Linked DNA regions of Daphnia pulex. The protein of the gene in region 1 interacts with the protein of each later gene in a pairwise test. Links are inferred from orthologs where the notes say so. Each region holds a gene or a part of one and is shown in the gene's direction. Other genes may lie near its edges.

Region 1 (4,262 bases):
GATTTCCACTTATAAAGAAGAGGTTGGTCTTATTTTTTTTACCCTTTTCAGCATAAAGCAGCTTTATGAACTAAATGAAGTATTTTAATCGATGGTTAATTATTGCTTGTACTATTGGGGGTAGTAAACTGCGTACAATACCTGTAAATGACTAAGGTTGGAAACGTGAGTTCCACAACACATGTTGCTGTCTACACCTAAAATAGTTACGACGCGAACAGGACCAACGTGGTCATCGGGAAGACCTCTAGAACGGACCTACGAACCCAATATGGTTTTCTTTAATTTAACTTTAATGTCAATTAAAGTAAAATTCTTACTTGGTCGGGTATCGCATCTCCTTCGTATACTTTTACTTCCACAGAGACAGCTTCCCTGATTTTCTCATTCACTTGGCTTTCAATGGTTTTTAGTTGGGCATCAGTCAGATTTACAGTATCTTGTAATTTAATATTAAGTGTCAATCAATGATGCTACAGAAAATTCTGAACACAAAGTTAAGAAGGAAAAATTTACCTAATTCAATATGGGAAACAGATTCCCCAAGCCACCAAGATGTTGTTTTGAAACCAAATGAAGCATCAGCAATTGCAGTGATTAGATGCTGCCCAGAGTGTTGCTGCATATGATCCCACCTTCTCTCCCAATCAATGACACCTGTAGCTAGAGTCCCAACATCCAGGCTGTCTTGTAAAAAATGGATGGCATCCTTCCCTCTTCTTTTGACTTGAAAGACAGGGATTCCGTTCAAGAAGCCTCTGTCATCAGGCTTTTGACATTTGAATTTTTAAAACCAATTCTATATGAGGATGTGTAATTTAACGTAAAAATTACCTGGCCTCCACCTTCAGGAAAAAAAACGGTATCTTCCAATAAGACTTCAAATGCTTGTACTTTCTCCTTTTTCCCCTGGACGAGCCTCTCGATCTGACACGGCGAACAAGAGACGACTTTGCTCGTAAACTACGAAACACCATACTGATCATTAATAGGATAAGAAAATACAAATACCAAAAAGGAAAATTTATTGAACCTCTTTCTTGTACGGTGATTTTTGACATTCAAAGACCATCGTAGACTTTTGGCAAATTTTGCACTGTTGTTATTTTTTTTTTCTTTCTAGCAGACAAAAATACAATCCATCTGTTGGCAATATTTACAACTTTGAAGAAAACACTAAGAGAAGAAATTGGCAACAGTGTTTTAAGCCAAGAAAAAATGGTGACTTATTGCAAAGACTTGTAGTCTTGTACTTGTGTTTTGTGTGTTTGCTATAATTGCAGCTATAATTTTATCTCGTTCAACGGGAAATACCACCAGAGTTTCTAATCTTTATACTGCCTGCTTGTATTTCGGTTTATTGACATTTTAAAGAGATAATTTTACTTTCGCGCTAATACTCAACTGAGCCCTGTAGGTGTATTTTTTTGCTGTTTTCACTTCACAGTGACATTTTTCTAAAGTCCTAAAGCCTGGTTGTTATAAAGATTATAAATTAATTTCAACACCGAAACATCATTCATGTTCCATGTAGCAGTGTGGATGCAGGTTAGTGGTTTGCATAGCAAAATCTTTATCAGTGATGACGTCAAAAATCAGTACTCATCTTATCTCTTAAATTTTTTACAGGTTCCTGTTCTGATTATGGGCTTTGATAGTATTGAAAACACCAGATCAGTTTAGTATCTGGTGTAGTTCTGAACTACAGCAACGTCCAAGGTCTGACCTCCATGAAATGGCTGAAACTGTTGCAGCTGTTGTAACCAGTTCCAATAGCGCAAGCTCTAGGAACAACAATGACTCCCACTTTCATCAACTAAATCTCTCAGGTTCAATGCAATTGATATTTAATCTTTACATTGGAAAAGTTCTAATCTGATTTATGCAATATAGTTCTAAAGGCCACTGTTGACCCAGTTTGCATAACAAAAAAGCCTTCACCATATGTTGAAATCTTGGTTGATGGGAAAGTGGTTTGGAAAACTGAGGCTGTGAAGAACACACATGATCCCACTTGGTCTTGTGAATCCTTTACTGTGTATGTACAGTTGCTATGATTCAGCACATTTGCAAGTGTCTTATCTTATTTATTTTTCTAGTCTTGTGAAAATCAATTCAAAATGTCTACTGAGGCTCTACAGTCATTCAACTTTCAAGCGAGATTTGGTTCTAGGAGAAGGCAGAATAGATATCCAAAAACAACTAGTACGAGAACAAGGGAAATTTGATAAAACCAGTCTTGTTCTGGATGTTAAGGTAAGCCTCATACTTGATTACTAGAAAAACACAAAACAAACAAAATTATTCAATATTTCTGGCATCAATAGGGAGAAATAAAGAATACTAGCATTGCATCAACGACAGAAGCAGCTAACGGTCGCAGCTCTAAAGTGAAGATTGGAGAAATTTTTATTGTGATGGACGGAATGAGGGTAGATCCAAAATTGTTGACAGGCAGTAGTCGAAGCGCAACGAGGTAATAATGTGCAGCGTTCAAATGGAAGCGAGCGATTCATCATTATAAATCTGTGTGCTCCCATTTTTTTAATCATCAGAGTGAACGGAGAAACAGGTGAATCCAGCTCAACCGCTGAGATCCGGACGAACGGTGCAGCAGTAGCTCCTGTCACGAATTTGACCACGGGCGAAAATGGTGGCGGAGCTCGTCCTCGTACCCGATCGAATGATGTTGAAGCCGCCCCCATTCCAGCAGTAGTAACTGGTGTTCCATCCAGGACACCCAACGGAACACCGCAGCAGACGCCGTCCAGGACTCCCAACGGGACAGTGGCAGCACCGGCTCCGAGGACTGAAACTACCCCAGCCACGACAGCACCTCCGGCTGCTCCACCTGGCCCCGAAGAACCTCTTCCGCCAGGGTGAGTTGATGCTGTTGTTGTATCACATCCATTTGAAATGTAACTGACGTTATTTTGTCTTCATTAGATGGGAAGTCCGTTTCGATAAATACAACCGGCGCTACTACGTCGATCATAACACGCGGAGTACGACGTGGGAGCGCCCGCAGCCTCTTCCGGCCGGATGGGAGATGAGAAGAGACCCTCGTGGTCGAGCCTACTACGTGGATCACAACACTCGATCGTAAGTTTATTTAATGGTTTCAACTTTTTCAATTAAATTAATTCGTATTTGTAAATTAACCAGGACGACATGGCAAAGACCGAATGTTGAACGTCTGCAACATTACGAACAGTGGCAAGGCCAGCGAGCGCATGTTGTTCAACAGTGCAGCCAGAGATTCCTATTTCCACAGGTAGTTGATTCATTGATCATTGAGCTAATCGTGACGTCACTTGCATTGATGTTGTTGTTGTTTTTTTCCTAACTAGGGTGGAGGAGTCAGCACCGGAACGGCGGTGGTGACGGGTACGGAAGAGAGCGATCCGCTTGGACCTTTGCCAGAAGGCTGGGAGAAACGTGTCGAGCCTAATGGCAGGGTCTACTTTGTCAACCACAAGAATCGCACCACACAGTGGGAGGATCCGAGAACCCAGGGGTGTGTCTCTCACTTGTCAATTCATCGAAATCCCTCAATCAATCTATATCTCATTTCTTTCTTTCTCTGATTCATTTCAGGATGAACCAAGAAGATCCTTTGCCTCCCGGCTGGGAAATGCGAATCACGGACGATGGTGTTCATTATTTTGTGGATCACAATACCCGGACGACCACCTTCCAAGATCCTAGACCAGGCGCAACTAAAGGGTATGATTATGTTGTCCATCATTACTGCCACAACGTGTTCTATCCAGCTCGCCCGCTACTTGAAAGTGCTTTTATTGCTTTGTGTGTGTTAATTGCTTGTGTTTTTTTTTTCCTCATTGCGCTGGACGCAGTCCGAAAGGTGCCTATGGCGTTCCCATCGCTTACGAGCGCTCATTCCGCTGGAAGCTATCTCAATTCCGCTATCTGTGTCAGAGTAATGCCTTACCATCACACATCAAGATCACTCTCAACCGGTCGACGCTCTTTGAAGATTCGCACCATCAGATTATGCGCTTGCCCGCCTACGAGCTCCGCAGGCGGCTGTACGTCATTTTCCGCGGCGAGGAGGGCCTTGATTACGGAGGAGTGGCTAGGTAAAATTATTATTAATTAAATACCCCCTTTGCGTCCCTTGAAGTGTGCGCTAATTGGACACTGAAGAGGAAACTGATTTTTCTATTCATTTTTTTTTTGTTTTGACAGGGAATGGTTTCTCTTGCTGTCACACGAAGTGCTAAATCCCATGTACTGCCTCT
Region 2 (4,000 bases), about 3.4 Mb from region 1:
CGCACGACAACGTCCTTGACGCGTCGTATACCAAATCCCCAAGTCTTGTTTTTTCCATTGGATTGGAGACGAAGCCCGACGACCCAGCCCTCGTCAAAAACCACCCACCCACCCAACTTCAAAGTTGAGTAGGTGGGTGAAAGGGTGACGAGATAATAGAGAGAGAGAGATAAGACTTGGGGATTTTGCATACGACGCGTCATGGACGTTGCCGTGCGTCAGGGTTGACACCTTAGTGATTTTGTACCAAAACGCAACAGACGCTTCGGTCCCAACCCTACTCACCCGATGAAGGACTAAAAAACATCTAGACCTCTCAGAGAAAAGATTCCCTATTTCGAGAGAGTCGATTTTAAAGAACAGATAAAACGTTATTTTTCTGAACAATTCAAAAAATTAGCTCTGTCATTCCAGGAACATTTAGCCAACCTGAAAACCCAGAACCCGTTACTGGATACAATGAATGGAAAGATTTAATCATAGAACCATTTAAGGACCCATCTGAGAATCAATTTTTTAAGAACGAACTGTCTGAAATTGAACAAAAAGCTAACGAACGAGTAAGAGAATTTCGCCCACGTTTAGAAACATGATTTGTTAAAGCCTACAACGGAATGCTTTTTTCCATAGTACAAATGAAGATATGACTCTCAAAAGAAACGACATTCGAAGGAAAAAAAGAATGCATTTGAAGGAGGACTCAAAAGGGAGTTACTCCCAGGTGAAAACAGAGTACTGCGCGATGCTGACTACGCAACATGTGAAGTCACAGCAACAGATATAGAAAGAAGTTTAGCACGCAAAAAATCAACTTCTCACAAAAACCGTCATTCACAAATAAGCGCTATTAGTTTACACAAAAAATTACTTTTAGTATTATTCGAATTACTTTAATTGTCTTTTAATGATTTATTTTAAGTTTATGGTAACCGCCATAAACTCCGTGTTAAACACGGCTCGAAGCCTCGAACATTTTGTCGCGCTGTTAAATTAATTTTAAAATAATAAATGTTAACGAAAATGTAAAAAATTTGTAACACATTTTTATCAACAGTGTTGTGGCCGATATTTTTTTTTTACCGCGAGCCCGGCCCGATTAACAGAAACAAACATCATGTCAAGGTCGTGATCTTTTTTGCGATCGCCGCTAGATGGCAAGGGGAAATGATTACCAACGTTTTCAAGAATCAAGACAAAGCACAAAGCAATTTGCAAAAATACATTTAATCACTGAAACTTTATAAACTTTAATGTATAACAATAATTTTTTATATAAAAATAAAAACAATAATTTATTGGTGGTGCTATTTAAAAAAAGGGTTTTTTTATTAATTAAAGATAGCGACGATCGCAAATCTGATCGAGCGATTTCTGGCCTGCAATTCCGATCCCGGTCGCGTTTTTCAGTTTGGATCGCGATCGCTAAAAATTTACCGTGGTCGTGATCGCACGATCGAACGATTGCAATCGTCACGACATTTTTTATTAATAAAATAAGTATCAGTTTATAATGAATAAATTTTTTGAATTAAGACCCCTATTTCCCGTATATAAATGTTTAATGGTTCATTTCTTTAAGATCCCACGCTACGATTTTGTCCGGGTTTTATTATGTAAATAGTGTGTAATGTGTCAATAATGTTCATTTTTCCTAAAGGCTAAAACTAAAACCCCCCTTTTTTTAGCTAAAATGGCCTTAGTAGAGACGAAGTTGCTTTAGTCCATTCAGGAACAAGCTCCACCCATCGCCAGAGGGGTGTACCTCTTTGGAGTTATCACTTAGGCAAAGGTTCAGTTTTCTGCCACCACTCTGTCGAGTCTACAATCGTAGATTCGTAGTGTTAGCGTTTAGATAATCTGTCACTTTCCACTTTTCCATTAAGTTCTTAACTTTATCGCGAATAAAATGGTAGACTACAGCAAATGGAAAAATATCGAGGTAAATTGTTGCTTCAAAAATGTTGTGTTGTTATTTTACCATATTTTTGCGGGTTCTCTAACCTTCTATTTATTGTCAGTATAGTATTTAATCGTAATTAAGTATCGTAATTAAGTATTCGTTATTTATATGTTTCATTTAAACACTCACGTACTTCATAATACTTTACAGATATCTGACGATGAGGATGATACACATCCTAACGTTGACACGCCTTCTCTGTTCAAATGGCGACACGAAGCTAGATTAGAAAAAATGAAGGAAATGGAACAAGAAAAAGCTCTGTTTCTCAAAGCAAAAAATGAGTAATGCTAAATAACTAGCTTTAATGTTTTTGTTAAAGTTTACATTAAATCAAACTTTTCTAACAAAGGAACACTGCCAAACTAAAAGAAGTTAAAAGTAAGTATGAACAGGTGATGAAAGAAGGTATTGATGTGACAGATTTGAAAAAGCAATTGAGTGAATTAGAATCGAAAAAAATTGAACTCGAAGATCATGAAGAACAAATGAAAAAAAAGGAAAAGTTGATGCCATGGTATTTAAAAGATTCACTTCAATATATCCTAATGTGATGTCTAATTTCAAAGTTTAATTGTGGTTTTTTTGCATATTTTTTTTAGGAATGTAGATACAATTAGTCAACCTGGATTTTCAAAAACTGTGGTCAATGTTGACCAACCCAAAAAAGTGAAAGAGCTCACTGAAGAGGAGAAAGAAATCAAAACACGTGAATTTTTCAAGAAACATGAGAAAAATCTTAAGGCATATGGAATGCTACAAAAGTATGATGATAGTAAGCGTTTCCTTCAAGAAAATCCAGAGCTGGTTTGTGAAGAAACAGCAAACTATCTCGTGATTTGGTGTATTAATTTAGAAATGGAAGAGAAAACAAGTTTAATGGAACATGTTGCCCATCAGTGCATTTGCATGCAATTCATTCTTGAATTATCCAGGCACCTTAACAGAGATCCAAGATCATGTGTGTCTTCATTCTTTTCAAGGTTTATCTTTATATTAAGTTGTCCTTTATGTAGCTATAACTAAATGAATTGTTTACTATTTTATCTCTTTTAGAATTCAAATCGCAGATGTTGAGTATCGTAAAGGATTTGAAGACGAACTTGTAGCTTTCAAAGACCGTATACAACGGCGGGCGAAAGAGAAAATAGAAGCTGCAATTGCCGAAGCTGAGGAGGAAGAAAAGAAAAAACGACTTGGTCCTGGAGGGTTGGATCCCGTTGAAGTATTTGAAAGTTTACCGGAGGTATAATTGAGCAAGACACATAAATTTCCTTCCACATATATGAATCATGTGTTTTGTTGTGTAGGTTCTTAAGGATTGTTTTGAAAAACAAAACATTGAGCTTCTTCAACAAGCAATTTCAACACTACCTGAAGAAGAAGCACGGTTTCATATGAAAAGATGTGTTGACTCCGGATTGTGGGTACCCGACGGAAATGTTGCTGGAAATATTGCAGAAAATGTTGCAGAAAATTAAAATACTAGTTTGGATTATTATATTCATTAATAATGAATTAATACACTGGGGCTTTTGAATAACGTGTATTTGACGTTTTTACCTCCAGTTTCATACTCACCTCACTTTAAAATTGTAAAGTTAAAAAGCCTTAAGAACAGACAAGTTACTGCTATAAAAACATACGCTAGTATTCTTCAGTCTGGAATTGCGACTCTTCCACTTCGTATTTAATGTTGTCAGGATCATATTGATTATAGCCATCATATTGTTGGGCCGTATAGTCATAATCTGCAAATTTCAATTCCACAAATTAGTAATAGATATTTTTCATTAACAGCTAATTCCAATACCATCAGGCGGTTCTTCCTTCACTCGCACTTGTTCACCATCCTCCCGAACATAGTCCCTACGCTCTCGTTCCCTGTGAAAAATTATTCATTAAATTCTGAAGTTGAATTCGATAATTTGATTGCTTACTTATCCTTGTAACGATCGCGACGTTCCCGGCGATCCTTGTTCTTGTCTTTAACTCGATCTTTTTCTTTGCGACGCTCATCGCCAGAAGCGACTTGACCAG

The links.
Region 2: the proteins of E3 ubiquitin-protein ligase Su(dx)-like (region 1) and hsp90 co-chaperone Cdc37-like interact in binary tests that used the Drosophila melanogaster proteins (3 or more experiments, as listed by UniProt). The link is inferred for Daphnia pulex from reciprocal best matches to the Drosophila melanogaster genes Su(dx) and Cdc37.

Annotation. Positions count from the first base shown.
Region 1 is NC_060026.1:2,734,161-2,738,422, forward strand, and holds the start of E3 ubiquitin-protein ligase Su(dx)-like, read left to right. Parts: upstream 1-1,196; 5' UTR 1,197-1,548; intron 1,549-1,629; 5' UTR 1,630-1,735; coding exon 1,736-1,829; intron 1,830-1,893; coding exon 1,894-2,038; intron 2,039-2,099; coding exon 2,100-2,256; intron 2,257-2,327; coding exon 2,328-2,476; intron 2,477-2,555; coding exon 2,556-2,879; intron 2,880-2,946; coding exon 2,947-3,102; intron 3,103-3,165; coding exon 3,166-3,274; intron 3,275-3,350; coding exon 3,351-3,517; intron 3,518-3,597; coding exon 3,598-3,726; intron 3,727-3,857; coding exon 3,858-4,100; intron 4,101-4,209; coding exon 4,210-4,262. Other genes in the region: alanyl-tRNA editing protein Aarsd1-B-like, read right to left, coding at 1-70, 142-258, 321-439, 517-769, 835-963, 1,034-1,072.
Region 2 is NC_060026.1:6,136,503-6,140,502, forward strand, and holds hsp90 co-chaperone Cdc37-like, read left to right. Parts: upstream 1-1,780; 5' UTR 1,781-1,906; coding exon 1,907-1,939; intron 1,940-2,110; coding exon 2,111-2,244; intron 2,245-2,312; coding exon 2,313-2,477; intron 2,478-2,562; coding exon 2,563-2,943; intron 2,944-3,016; coding exon 3,017-3,206; intron 3,207-3,270; coding exon 3,271-3,441; 3' UTR 3,442-3,500; downstream 3,501-4,000. Other genes in the region: U1 small nuclear ribonucleoprotein 70 kDa-like, read right to left, coding at 3,608-3,711, 3,774-3,844, 3,901-4,000. UniProt on the Drosophila melanogaster protein: Co-chaperone that binds to numerous kinases and promotes their interaction with the Hsp90 complex, resulting in stabilization and promotion of their activity. Required for cytokinesis and chromosome segregation in mitosis and male meiosis.